Linked DNA regions of Drosophila melanogaster. Changing the gene in region 1 together with any one later gene gives a genetic interaction. Each region holds a gene or a part of one and is shown in the gene's direction. Other genes may lie near its edges.

Region 1 (8,031 bases):
TTGACGAATGTTGTATACGAATAACGGGTATTAAAGAAATTCATCAAATAAACGTTGTTATACCCGTTAAAAGTAGAGTAAAAGGGTATACCAGATTCGTTGAAAGGTAGAAGGAAGCATGTGAGACCATATAAAGTGTATATATTCTTGATCGCGATCAATAGCCGAGTCGATCTGACCCAATATCGATCTCAGGAACTGTGAGAGCTAGAATGTTGCGATTAAGCATGCGCCTTGCATATATATAGACGCTCCGGAAGTTTGTTCCAAATGTTGCAACGCCTTCTCTAACGCCCACAAGCCACCCAAAACTGCCACGCCCACACTTTTGCAATATGTTTTAATATATTCATATCTTTATTAGTGTTGTAAATTTCTTTCATTTTGTCAATAAACTTCTTGTCACGCCCACACACCGCCCAAAACTGCTACACCCCCGCTTTAAAATATGTTTTGATAATTTCAGACTTCATTACTTATCTTGCTAACTTCTATCGGTAGCCCAAAGAGTTTTTTGAAATTATTAATAATTAATAAATAATTAATTTAATCTGCTTTTATCTGTTTTATTATCCAATAGTCGAGGCACTTGAAATATCATTATCTGTAAGTTGTATCATATACATGTCTTGACTCTAGTTATGCCCGTTATTTTACAGGAAAGGGGTATATTGTGTTTATTGAAAAGTATGTAACAGGTAGAAGGGAGCTTTAATTCACAAATATCTGTCGGTATCCCAGCTAAATTATGAAATTCCCCGTTCGCATTCTCACTAGCCGACTAGAGCATTCTCTCTTGTTTATCCTTGAAACTAAGAATTGGCTTAGAAGAAAAGGTATTTGTAAAGCATATAACGGGTAGAATGATACTTAGCAACTTAGCAAGTTTATATATCATGATCACTTTCAAAATCCGAGATCATTTAACACGTCCATCTGTCCCTACTTCTTTCTGTCTGCCCCATATGGAGGCAGAGAGCTTAGTTTCTCTGCGGCCTCGAAAATTCTATTAGCAAAACCCCAGCGATGCAACAATTAAAAATTTTTTTAATTTGTAAGCTAAAATATTTGTCAGCTTGGGTCAATGCGCTCTGTCATTAGTCAGAAAAAACAATATACCCAAGAAATGAGGATTATATTTGTAGGTACATACATTTTATTTGTAAAATATTCTATTATTTTACTGTGTTTGAGAAAATTGAAATATCGCCCATGACGTCGTAGGATACCCAATTTTGAAATTTTAAATATGAGTTATTAAGGGAATATTCAGTTTTAAAACATCTGTGAAGTACGGATTGACAATTTTTGACAAAAAAAAAAATTCTTAATTGGCTAGGTTGCCTCTGGTAGCTATCCGTCATGGTGTTTTTTTTTTTTTATTACTAAGCTGTATTTTGGAGTGCCATTCTTGACTCTTTCGAAAGGATAATTTATAATATTATTTTTATTCAAGTAAGTATTATAATTTTTTTTTATAGTCGAGTTCGTCGTCTATTAGATATCCCTTACTTAGCCAAATTAACTTCGAGGGAGACAGGTTCCTGCCCCCTTCTTTTACACTTACCACTTATTATATTTATGGTATCTAAAAACTTCAAAAGTATCGGAGTGACTCGAACTACATATTTTTAGTATTTCGTTAGATGTTGACTAAAGAAAACTTAACTGCCACGAATTCAGTATACCCTTATTACGTATTGTAGAGTAGAATTCTAACAGAGGGATGAGATGGTTATATTTTCTAATAATCACATAACATGATTAACGTTTATTATACATAAATCTACAATTATTAAAGATCAAATCGGTTTATACACCAATGTTTTACCAATGATTACTGTTACCGTTATTTTGTCCTTATGTGCCCATCTCTTATAATGTATTAGTATATTTTACGCACTTTTGTAAGATGGGCCTGTTTACAATAAAAAAAGATGTAAAATTTAAAAGAATCTATAAACAAATTATTATGAGGCACTGTACCAATTATAATGGTCTGAAAATACTGCATGTATTCGCATTTACTCTTGTCAATATTAAAATCATGAGAATTCAGCTGTGTATATTCGTAAGGAATAAGGACCCAAAATCTGTGCCGACGTCCACAACCAATCCACCCAATCAGTTCCGACTTAACCGGGGTTCTTTGAAAGCCCTCTTAAGTCAACAAGCAACAATAGCAACAACGAGGTGAAACATTTTGCCCAAAAATAAAGTTAAATGCGAAGGCTAAGTCGCACAAACATTTCAAATACGTAATACATGTTTTAAAACTTTCTGCGAAGAGTTCAAAAAGCAGCGGCGAACTTATGTATGTAACAGCAGAAGTATATTAACAATTACACTTAAAAAAATTTCTTTTTCAACGATTGAATCAACGTAAGCTGGTTGAAATTCTGAAAATGCATTGCAGTTAATGGCAAATATTTTACATTATTAAAATGTAACCGTAACCTCAACCAAAACTTGCCAAATATATGTAAGTTACAACCGGCAAAACACTCAAAATGTCAAACATTTGTGGAATCATAGTGAATGCATACCACAAAAGCTGAATATTTATAGCTGTAACTGCAATAAAAGTATTTAACGTTAAATCTGCTCCCTAAGCCATTTGGAGATTTGTGTGCACTTTGTTTCAAGCTTGTGCGGAATTAAAGGAGAAGTGACAGCAAGGTTCTATGATGACAGTTCTTATTGGAAGCAGGCGACAACTTGGGCGTAGTGCTGGTAGCGTTTGAACTGGTTGAGAATTATAAATACACCTGTCAAACGAACCTATATTCTTTCAACATTTATAGCGTCAGCATACGAAAACACAATAAATAGCTCTCAGTAAGTTAGTTACAACTTTTCTGCATGATGTTTTCAGCATGAAGACGGCATATATAGACACCATGCATCTTTTCATTACACAACTAAAGAATCAGCAGAGTCAACCGAAGACCCGCTGGTGTGAGAGTTCGTTCCCCTGTGCGTCCTCAGACCACTGTTCGTCCTCTGCGAGTTGGAATTCCTGTCACGGACTCCGCTCGCAGCTTCCAGTTCGAGTCTGGAGTCCATCCTCATTCATGTGGCGTCTGGCGCACAGCTTATACTCCTCCTGACTGCTGCTACCGCTGCCTTATTCACGTTTTGCAGCCGGCCAACTGTCCGGTGGGCGGTGCGTGGGGAGGCGATTTCGGCTGGTGCGAGAGCGCGGATAGAACACCACGCCCTCTTCGTCTACTGGCTGTGCTCTAGAGCGGGAACGAGCTACTGACGCTATCAGCTGAGAGCGCCGCCATTTGCCACTACGTGAGAGCTGCGGAATGAGCGTGTGTGCAAGCAGGATGGCAGCTCATGCGCGACATCGCACTCACTCACACTGGCGCGCGCACATCACGCACGCAAACACACGGCGAACGGGGCGGTGGAGTTTTTTGGCTTCTGGCGCTGCGCTCGCACAGCGTCCAAACATTCCCAGTTTTTCAGCTGCGACGGCTGGTTGTCCTCACGATTTTGAGTAGATCAGCTGCAGACCAAAGTCGGTAGTCGAGTTTCGAATTTGAGTCGGTTTTTGTTTTTGGAAGCGGTGCGCGTATTCGATTTTTGTTTTGACTTGAGCTCGGCTGTAGTTTCGGTTTGCCAGAACTGGATCGAAGGAGAATCGACACAGAAACAGGGAGTTGGCGAAACGGATACAAAACTGAAGTTGGATCGGTAATCGCCTGCCCGGTCATAAACAACAACACAAGGGAGCACAGCCGCATACGCATACGCGCCTCTGTCTCTAATGCCTTATCAGTAACAGGCATCGTCGAGTGTCGTAGGAAGAGCCCGACAAAGGCCGACCTTTACCACTCAATTTGGATCTGATGTGCCATTCTCGCGCTGTCTCGTAAATTAATGTCATAAATTAACTTTAGATTTCTTACGCTAACCGGTGGTCGTCAGCGGTCCGAAAACGCCTTTGCGCTCGAGATACAGGGGCGGTTTCTAATCAATACAAATATCCTACCTGCCGCCGAGTCAAGTGTTTTAGTGAGTGTGTGACCCTATGTTCCTTATATTACCTTGGTGCTAAGGAGAAAGTTTAAAAAAAGCGGCATTCAAATCGTAGTTTGTGCAATAAGAAAAGGCAAGCCAATGGTGTCAATCTCTAAGACAACGCCGAAGTGATGCATGTCCGCAAAGTAATAGATCAAGTTGTGCGCACACTTATTACCGGCGAGCCTAGCCGGGCATCTAATCGTGGCCAGTGTCAAGTGTCCAATAGCACATCTAGCCGGGGTGTAGAGGATTACCCAAGACCAACGTAGCACCGCAGCCCTTTTAAGGAGGCATAAGGCTCGCAAGACACAACGCACAGCCTACACAACGACAAACATAACACGACCGACGGACATCATCCTTGGAAATAGACCTCGTGTCATTCCAAAAGACGCACATGGGCGTCTGCACCGAGGAGCGCCCTGTGATGCATTGGGTAAGTTCTGCCGCCGTAGCACATAAAATCCAAAGTTACCAGCGATAAGACTAAAAAATAAGTCATCCACCAGTCCGTCCCAGCTCACCCAAACTCTGCCCTTTGTGATTAATATTGATCCGAGCCTGGGTTACTCGGAGTTATCAATACCAGACTGAAAGCTTGCCTATCAACAGACAGCCCCACTCAATATCGATAAGAAAGCCGCTTGGGCATTTCAGATTAAAAACAGTTCCCAGAAGTGTTCAATCAGTGGCTAGTTCGCTCGTTGAAACATTGCTGTAGAACGCGGTTACAAAATTTCAATGTGATTCCCTGCCTTAATTTTTATTCATCTAACTTAGGTTAGAATCATTTAATGTTTAAGAAGGCAGATTTTTGATGATAGTCGTACTAATCAATATACAATCAAATTGGGCGGCATAGTCGTGCAAAAAAATTAATAGATATGTAGAAATCAAAATACAGGTAAAACAAATATGTACGTTTTTACGAAATTTTTGTATATATCTGATATTCGACGCGAACGTATTCAGTTTTAGAGAATAATCACCGTGTGCCAATATATACCAATTTGATATATTTTAATAGTAGTCAATTGACCTTCAAATACTAATTTTTAACGCGAATAAGGCATTTTCTACCACACAGAGATATTCTTGTACCATTTTTTTGAAAAGAACGAATTGCCTTGATGAGTTACATGAACATCTTTTACCTATTTTTGATTTTGTCATTTTTAATTGCTATTCCTATTTTGAAACATAACGCATTCCTTATACTTTATGCAAACAATTTTTTGTTACTTTACAACTTTGGTGTTTGAAATCTGTGTGTTTGTTTTAATTCCCATCTTTTGTATGTTTTCCAAATGTCATCGATTACTGTAAATCGAGATGTACGAGTATTCGAATTCTAGTCTATATATACCACATCTATATATTGTACAAGAATTGTATAAGATTGTATTGTATAAGAATAGGAAAATCGTAAATAAATTGGAAGAGTAAAATGGTATGAAACATTCGTTGAAAAGTATGTAACAGACAGATGGAAGGGTTACCGACCCTTATAAGGGATATCCTTGATTAAGGTCAATAGCCGAGTTGATCTGGCCATGTCCGCCTGTCCGTTCTTTTATTCGTCCAACCGTCCGTCCTTTTAAACGTTTTAGGAATTGTAAAAGCTGAAACCTAGTCTTGAACATTCATATTGTACTGCCGTTTTAAAGTATTTCCAAGTCCACTAAAACAAACTCCCATATCTCAAAATTCTTTCTTCCTAAAGTATTCGAAAATGTGTTGATGATGTGTTTACCTGATAAATTCGGCACATCGATCAAGTTACGAAATTGATTAAATTCGGACTATTAAAAATTTTATAAAAGTAATTTTAGAGTTTTTTTTTTCAAATTTTTATTTTTGTACATTTCTTTTTATATATAAAAGTCGAGTTCCCCAACTATCAGATACCCGTTACTCAGCTAGTGGGAATGAAAACGCAACATTTCATCATTTTGCTGGAATATCGTTAGATATCGGTGAATAAAATGAACAAAAATTTAAATTTAAACCGCCAAGAAATACGCTTTTGAAATATGTTTTGATATTTTTCATGTTTTATAAGTCTTTAAATTTTTACCGATTTGCCAAAAAACTCTTTGACATGCACAAACAGCCCAAAGCGGCCACGCCCATCTTGATGAAAATGTTTTGGTATATTTCCGTTTTATGTATGTATTGTAATACCAAGAAAATTTTTAACACACCCTTTCTAACTTATCATTCGTCTTAATTTTTTTTCCAATTTCTTTCGATATGCAAAAAAATTGAAATTTATTTTTCGCAGTCTGCCTAGCTGAGTAACCGATATCCAATAGCGAGAAATAGACAACGAATTCAAATACATTTTTTTGTAGCTGTCATTTGCCCGTAATCAAAATATCGGAAACATCAATAAGTCCTATTGTTAAGTTTGTTACAAAACTCAATTTTAATTCAATTCAATTTTTTCTACAAAAACTCAATTTTAATGTGAATAAATACAAGGGGAAATTTGCTTGATATTGTGCGCTTGGCAAATTAACACAATAAAAATATTTTTAGTGCACTAAGTATCATATACATACATATGTTTGCGATTCTTATATTCTTTAAAATAGTAGAAACTTTTTCGATCTTTAATGTATTTTACAATAATGTTAGGCATTAACGGTGCTTATTATATTATTATACGTTATTATAACGTATTATTATTATTATACGTACACATCCGATATACTCTGTTTGATGACTGTGGATCGACAATGTTAGGAACTTCAAATTAGGAACTTACAAATGTATCATTTGATATAGCTAGAAAAACACAGACATTTTTTTGAAGTAAGTGCTTTCTGTCTACAGAGTGGCCAAATAAGCTTAAAAGTTGTTTGAATATTTGTAGTGGTATATTAGTTGTTTAGCTCGGTATCTGTAATATTGTACTTTTTGCCACTTATCTGCAATTTGGTTCACTATGCAGAGCAACCTTCATCAGGTGAATAATATGTTACAACTCATTGTCTAAACGTTTTATAATAGATTGGCACAGAAAACATACATCTATTGTATGTTTTGGTTTCGATGGAACCGTTTTAAAATAACTAACAATAAAAACAGCCATAACGTGTTCCTAAAAGCCTCAATTCTTTGTTCAGATCGTCAAGTTGTGCAGGGCACATAGCTTTCCGGAAATGCCATTATTTCTGTCCTTTTGACAATTACTTGCGATTATTACGAATACTACGAATAAAACATGAAACAAGTGTTAGTCGTAAAAATTACTTTCGTTACCTTACATTTTATTACTTTCACTATTCTCAACTTTGATATAATCCCTATTAAAACAATGTAAATACATTAACTAAAACAGTGATTAATTATATTTAAAGTCAAACTTTAATTGAATAGATTTGAGATATGATCAAAACATTTTATGTACCCCTTCTTGTTGAGTATGGGACGTCACTATATATATATATATATATATATATATTAATTAAAATCAGTAGACAAGCTTATATCGGTAGGTATACCTACCGATATAAGGTTTTCTACTGATTTTAATTTCCCTAACAACATCAGCTTGCATGACTCAGCTTTAAACGAATAGCAACAATAATAATAATAATAGCCTTTAAAAAAATACCCTCCAGGATTTACGAGTCATCATTGATATCTAAGTATATATAAGTACGCCAAAAATAGAACAAGTGTGATCAAAAGCAATAAGTTGTACTTTTTTATTATTTATTTTATTTTGTTATTTTTTATACCCGTTGATCGTAGAGTAAAAGGGCATACTATATTCGTTGAAAATTATGTAAAAGGTGCAAGTAAGCGTTTTAAAGTATATATATTCTTGATCAGGATCAATAGCCGAGTCGATCTAGCCAAGTCCGTCAGTGCGTATGAACGTCGAGATCTCAGGAACTATAAAAGCTAGAACGCCCACACTTTTGAACCATTTTTAGAAATTTTGAGTAACGAGCATCTGATAGTCGGAAAACTTAACTATATCAT
Region 2 (6,620 bases), 7.2 Mb from region 1:
CAAGTACGACACTGACTTCTACATCCTTGACAAGTTCCCGTTAGCGATACGGCCCTTCTACACGATGCCTGATCCAAACAATCCGGTCTACTCCAACTCTTACGATATGTTCATGCGCGGCGAGGAGATCCTGTCCGGCGCGCAGCGTATCCACGATCCCGAGTACTTAATCGAACGAGCCAAGCACCATGGCATTGGTGAGTACCCCCTACACGTAGTAAATAACTCGTAAGGTCAGCTTAGTCACAAGATCTCTCGGTAAACAATGATAAGACTGCAATAAGAGAATAATATAAATGCATAGCTCAAGTGCTTATATAAGACTGTAACCCATTTCAGATAAGAAGTTGAAACTTATCTACTCTATTAATACTTAATATTAACGCCGTATATATTTGTTTTCTAGATACCTCCAAGATTGCGGCGTACATCGAGTCCTTCCGCTATGGATGTCCTCCACATGCTGGTGGTGGCATTGGAATGGAGCGTGTGGTGATGCTGTATCTGGGATTGGACAACATCCGCAAGACTTCCATGTTCCCGCGCGATCCCAAACGATTAACGCCTTAAGCACGATAGACTCAAACAACGTACTCTTTAGATTTGAATACAATTCGATGAAACAATTGTTTTACTTTCCCTGTGACTTTCCAAGCATTCAGTTCTTTTTATTTTTACGCCAAACCCAATCGTGAGTGTTTTATCCTTCTTCTCAAGACTAACATGCTGCAAAGTTGTTAAACAACGAGAAAAATGTACGGGAAGACTGCCTAGAGTCAAATTTATTTGGAAACTCGTAAGAAATAAATACTTGCGCGTATGTTTTGTACTTTAATAATTGCTTTTAATATTTTGGTTGGTTATTTTTAAGTGGGTAAAATATATAAGCTAACGTGTAGCTAGAATATTATATTTTTGTTGCATACTTTTAGGGTCTGTAGAAAGGCCACATTTGTTCTCATAGCTTATCAATATGCACCTGGTCAAAGAGTTTTCTTAATGTTTTATTCAAAAGGTTGAAACCAGACCAATTTTATTAAAAGCCTTAAGTAAAAACAGTTCACTACTTTTGATTTGTCTAATTGGATTGTAGTATAAGAGATTAATATTCTCATCATTTTCAAAATAAATAAAAGATATTATTATTATCTGGCATTAGAATTTAGAAATTTAGTTTTTGATGCAGGCTGTGTAATAACCATTATAGTTTTCTTGGTGACCATCTATAAGACTGACTACCTTAACTACTTTGAGAATCCCTTAAATAATCACCGCTCGAAGTCCCGTCGGCCATGTCTTCTTTATCTGGAAACTTCTTTCTCAGGTTAAACTCCCACATAAACATGGTTTTTTTTCTAGCTTTCTCCGTAGTTATAGAAGTTTCCCACAACATTTTATGCAACATTGCTTAAACAACTTTCTGCGTATTAAAACAAATTTCGATATTTAGCCAAATCGGTATAACCAGTAATCAAATCATATTAGCTGTCACTAAAACCAAACTTTGTGTTCCGACTTTCCTGGAATTTGTAAATGAAAACATAAGTTTAGATCCTATATGCTCTGTAGTAGGGCTATTTTCCATGCCGACTTGATGTATTCCATTTTTATATTATCCACAGATTTTTCAGCTTTTTTTACACGTTCCTATCAGAAATCTAACAATTAAAGGTGTAGTAGACCGTCTTTCACTTATAAGCATCCACACCTTGTCAACAATCCGCGGCGAAATGAAGGCGAATGAACAGCACAATAAATTGTATTCATTTGCAATCAGATTATTATCAATACGGAAACTTCGCGGTTGAGGAGGGCTTGGGGCTTGGAAGGGGACTGGAAAACAAGGATTGCGGGGGCACTGCAAACACTGTTGACACAGTTGGCGCATACTTTTCATTGCGGAAAGGCAAGGAAAGGAACAAAAGGACGAAGTAGAAGGCCCCGGATGAATGCGAATTCCTTTCAATCTGTTTGTCGAACTTTAAAATCAGAGAGAAACAGCAGGAGTTTCGTCTACTTGAGGACACAATTGAGACGCACTCCATTTTATTTTCACACCGATGTGGCATCGTTAGTTGGAAACCTGGAAACAACAATACAACGCTGAATGCGGCAGCAATCAAGTGGGCGGTGCTTGGCAACTGCAGCACACTAGTTGTCCCGCTCCCACCGCGGTCCAATGACTGCCGTGCGAGAGAGATGGCCCGATACAAGAAATTGCCATTTTGTTTTCAATGCCGCGGCGACTGCGCTGCCGTCGCGCTGCCCGCAAATGCATTGGATTTACCGCTCCTTTTGCCAGTTTGTTTTTTCTCTTCCGATTGAGCGGCAGCCGGAGCTCTCCGTGTTTTTCTCTCACCGCCGCGCGGGATTTTCGATTTCGGATTTTCGATTTCAGCGTAAACGAGAATATCGTAAAATTAAAACGAAACAAAACCAAAATCCTAGTGAGTGATCGCGGCAAGTGCAGTTCATTTGTTTTCCAAGTGCCACATCGCAAAGCAGAATAATAATTATAGAAATAGAGATTTCCGCGGATGCTGCAATTGCCAAAATAGTGCCGTTCTCCATCTCATTTTCGCTCGCTGGCTATCGCCCTCTCTCTCACTCGCTCTCGCACAATCGGGCCGCCAAGAATTTATGGAATTCGGCATTTTGTGGATTTAGCGAAAATATTTTCATTGAGTGCGCCGACCAAATGTTTGCTGCTCGTTTTCGGTTAAAAATAATCGCAGAAGCCGCTGCGCCAAAATCTCAAGAATTCACGTGCGAATTCCCCAGCGCGTATCACTTTAATTACTATTCAAATTAACAACAACAACAAAACGATCAAACGAAAATTAAGTCAAGTTTTACCTTGTCAAGAGATGTGAAATTGTTGAATATTTTGCAAAAAGTGCACTGTAACGAGAATTGAGTTGATTTACGCAAGCAACACTGAACATCTTATTGGATTACACTAAAAACATTCAAGTGGTAAGTGCGGGTTCGATAAATGAAATGTCAAATTGGACCGCAGTCGTTTTCCTTCTGGTGTCATTATAATTATCATAATTTGCCTAATTTATCGATTTGCATTTAATTTTATTATGCATATTAGGCTAAACGTCTGAAATTGATGTTTGTACCTTACATCATAAGGTTAATTTATTAATTCCACTTAATTGGTTATATTGTTCCTATACTTTTTAATTGAATTGTAAAAAGGTACAACGTGAAAAGCTCTGAACAGTTAAGGATTAAAAAAAGGTTGTTAAATAGCTTAAGTTTTTTGTAACGGGAACATTATGGAGCTATAGTTATTTTCCAATTAAATTGGGATAATATGTAATAGCAGTAGTAGAAGCACAGATATAATTTATAGGATTATTCATTAAATTACGAATATTTTTTGTGACAGATAGCTTTTAAAATGTAAATTTTGTGTTTTCATGTCCCGACGGAGGTTTATTTAAAAATGATTCCTATTGCCGTCGGACCTTAGCTATATTTTCATTTCAATAGCTTTTACTGTGTTCAATGCAATAGTTTGTTCAACGTTTGGCATTCGCTGCTGCTGTTATTGTATCAATCAATAGTTGCAACGATTATTTATTTCCATTCTACAAAAAAGCTTAGCATATTAATTTGCGACCTAATTCAAGATATTTCTAAAAGCTAAAGCCAAGAATTAAAGAATTAACTTCAAAGACTTTTAAAGTAATTCCTTATTTTCCGACGGATATCTTTAACAAGTTTTAATTCACTTCGTCTATAAAACCGTTTATGTGCCAGTTTATTGGTTTTTATTTTGATCATAATTACTTTAGCTGTGAAAGCATTCGTTTGTGGTTTTCTATAGCCATTTTGAAACTTGATGATGCTTTGTTTACATGCAATTGCTTTTCAACAGACATTTACGGTTCAAATAGTCACATCATTAAAGTCGGTTTTAACATAAATGCCAGAAATTGGCTCATCAGCTTTGAATTTCTTACCACAATTAGCAAATTGTTAATGCCTTCTCCTGCACTTTTCTCCATTTTCCTTCCAGTTGGCAATTCTTCGTCGGAAACGCGGATGAGAAACGAAATTGACGTTCCAACGCCAAAGGGAAAAAAAAACTGAAAAAATAGAAAACAACGACTAACAGCAATCAACAATGTGGAAATGATAATTGCAATTGCCTGCACAAGCAAACAAAGAAGAAAGAAGCAAGTGAAGAAAGTCGAAGAGCGACGAGGGGAGGAAACTGAGTCGAAAAGAAAAGGAAATTACCCACGAACGGGAATGGCAAATGCATAGAAAGAAGTTTGCGAAAAACAACAAAAAACGTAAACAAAAAACAGACAAAAAGCAATTATAGCTGCTGATACAAACGCGATGGTGTTTTACAATATGTAAATATAATTAGCCGAGCGGAGTTTTCATTCCAGGAATTTTGCCAGCCAACAAAAGAAATAAATACTACAACTGCTGCAGAAAAAATACAACAAAAACAACAAAACACGCCTTGACTTGAAAGCCGGTTTTATAATTACTCCAAGTTTTAGCCCCCTTCCCTCCCCGCGCGCTCTCTATCTATATATCTATCTCCCTCTCTTCAGAGAGAGCATTCAATTTCAAACCCCCGATACGATTACGAATCCAATTGGAACCACGCGTATTGGCATCACAATTCCCTCCCCGCTCAAGTGACAATACCAATTTAACTACCATCCATCGCTAAACCGCAAAAGCAGTGAGCCAGTGTGAGTGCCAGTGCCAGTGCCAGTGTGTGTGTGGCAGTGAGTGGCAGTTGCAGTTGCAAGTGCGCTTGCCACTGCGACAATGGCAGTGTCCTGCCCCGAAGTTATGTACGGTGCCTACTATCCATATCTGTACGGGCGCGCTGGAACAAGTCGATCGTTCTACCAGTATGAGAGGGTGAGTACCGCAAACCTATCGATTCGATTCGATGCGATTCGATTTTGCCTTCCGAACTTTGAATATTTGGCCGGGTAATCAGGCCAAAACAACTGCATTCGGCTAACTCCTCGAGCGAACAAAATTGCTTTCAAAGCAATATTACTTTAAAAACATCGCATTTTAAAGATTAGATTGATTTGACTTGGCATGTACTTGGCTTAAACTCCAAGCAGTCAGTAAAATATTTATAATTAACACTTTTACAAGCAGAAGAAGAATAGTTATTTAGTAACCTTTTTGAACGTAGGCTGCTTTTAAAAAATGGATATTAAACTTATAGTCGGAATTCAATAGCACCATTAAATAAATATTGATAGTCACGTGGATGTGGTCACAAAAAATATGGAATTTTAGTCAGACAAGTTTTACTTGTTCAGTTCAATAGTTAATGCTCGAAAAATAGTTTATCGTTTATTAGATTGGTTTATTATTGGTTTGTTTACACTCAGGAATACCATTCAATTAATCAAAATCTCAGCGAAATCTCTGTAGTGGCAATCACAATTTCTCTTTGCATAAGTAATAAATTAAGGATTTTAAATTAGAAATTTGAAATAATTTATGAAGAAAAAGAATTAAATAGATAGTAAAACAACAAAGGTTAACTAACAGAAATAGCAACAATTTGAGATTATTTAACTTATTAGATCTATTAAGTACTAATTACTCACTAATTTCATAAAATATCAGAGAAATAAGCTAAAACCGAGCAGCAAAAGTGTTGGTGACCAAATTTGTATCTTGGACATTTTTGGCTAGCGAATTTTTGAGTTTAAGGCGTTGCGGTTTTTGTGGCTAACGCACGTAGCAAGGTGTTAAAAATTTCCAAACTTACAATTGTCTATACTTTTTGTAAGTCCAAGTTAACTGTTTTTTTTTTAGGTAATACCATTGCTTGAAATGATAAGAAATCTCGTCTGTAAAACAGAAGGAATTGAATAACTTGCTTAGAATTTTAATTAGTCAAAGCTAAATAGGGAAATTTTCAGTTACACAAAACAACTTTTAAAAAGGAACTAGATGATTTAGTACAATAAGAGTTAAAAGAAGCAGCGTTCTTAAATACTTATATCTTGTATTTCTTGCGTTTATGCTCACATTTGTAATTGCAAAAAATAAATTTAAGGAGTGAAGGCTCTTTGTGAAAGCGCAATTCAAAACTGGAATCCCATTTGTGCAACGCAAGTTTCTGTTGGCCAGCACAAAGTGGCTCGCTTTGCATAAACACAGAGTGGCCATAAGGAAAATCAGAAAACGTTTTGTTAAGACTCTTGTTCGTTCGTCTCCTTTTAACCAAACGAGCGTACGAAGAACAAGTTGGAGAAGCACTTTAAGAAGGGAAAGCACCGAGGATGAGTCACTTGGCCACCGCTGATTGATGGATACCTCTTTGCACTTTTGGCCAAGGCCAACCGAAAGCTACTGTGTTGTTGGCTGCGTCAATTTGTTTGAACGGGCTTGGAGCCTGAATAATTAGACGCTTCTAACAAATCATAAGAATTCACGCAGAACGCAAATCGATTTGGGAAACCCGAAACAATAAAGAACCGAAAAAAAGAGAAGTTGCCAAACTAAAGGGGCAACATTTCAAGGAATTCCGCAACTCAATGTTGGCTTTGTTTCGCCTCTCCCGCTTTTTGCTAACATTGATTTCGAAGATTTCGCTGTGATTT

Evidence for each region.
Region 2: of ap (region 1) and vg, changing one suppresses a phenotype caused by changing the other (phenotypic suppression), as found in Drosophila melanogaster (3 studies listed by BioGRID).

Annotation. Positions count from the first base shown.
Region 1 is NT_033778.4:5,722,261-5,730,291, reverse strand, and holds the start of ap (apterous), read left to right. Parts: upstream 1-3,459; 5' UTR 3,460-4,432; coding exon 4,433-4,471; intron 4,472-8,031. UniProt on the Drosophila melanogaster protein: Required for the normal development of the wing and halter imaginal disks.
Region 2 is NT_033778.4:12,882,336-12,888,955, forward strand, and holds the start of vg (vestigial), read left to right. Parts: upstream 1-1,865; 5' UTR 1,866-2,976; intron 2,977-4,033; 5' UTR 4,034-4,809; coding exon 4,810-4,905; intron 4,906-6,620. Other genes in the region: AspRS (Aspartyl-tRNA synthetase), read left to right, coding at 1-197, 407-570. UniProt on the Drosophila melanogaster protein: Involved in determining which thoracic imaginal disk cells will form wings and halteres, perhaps by interacting with other nuclear regulatory proteins.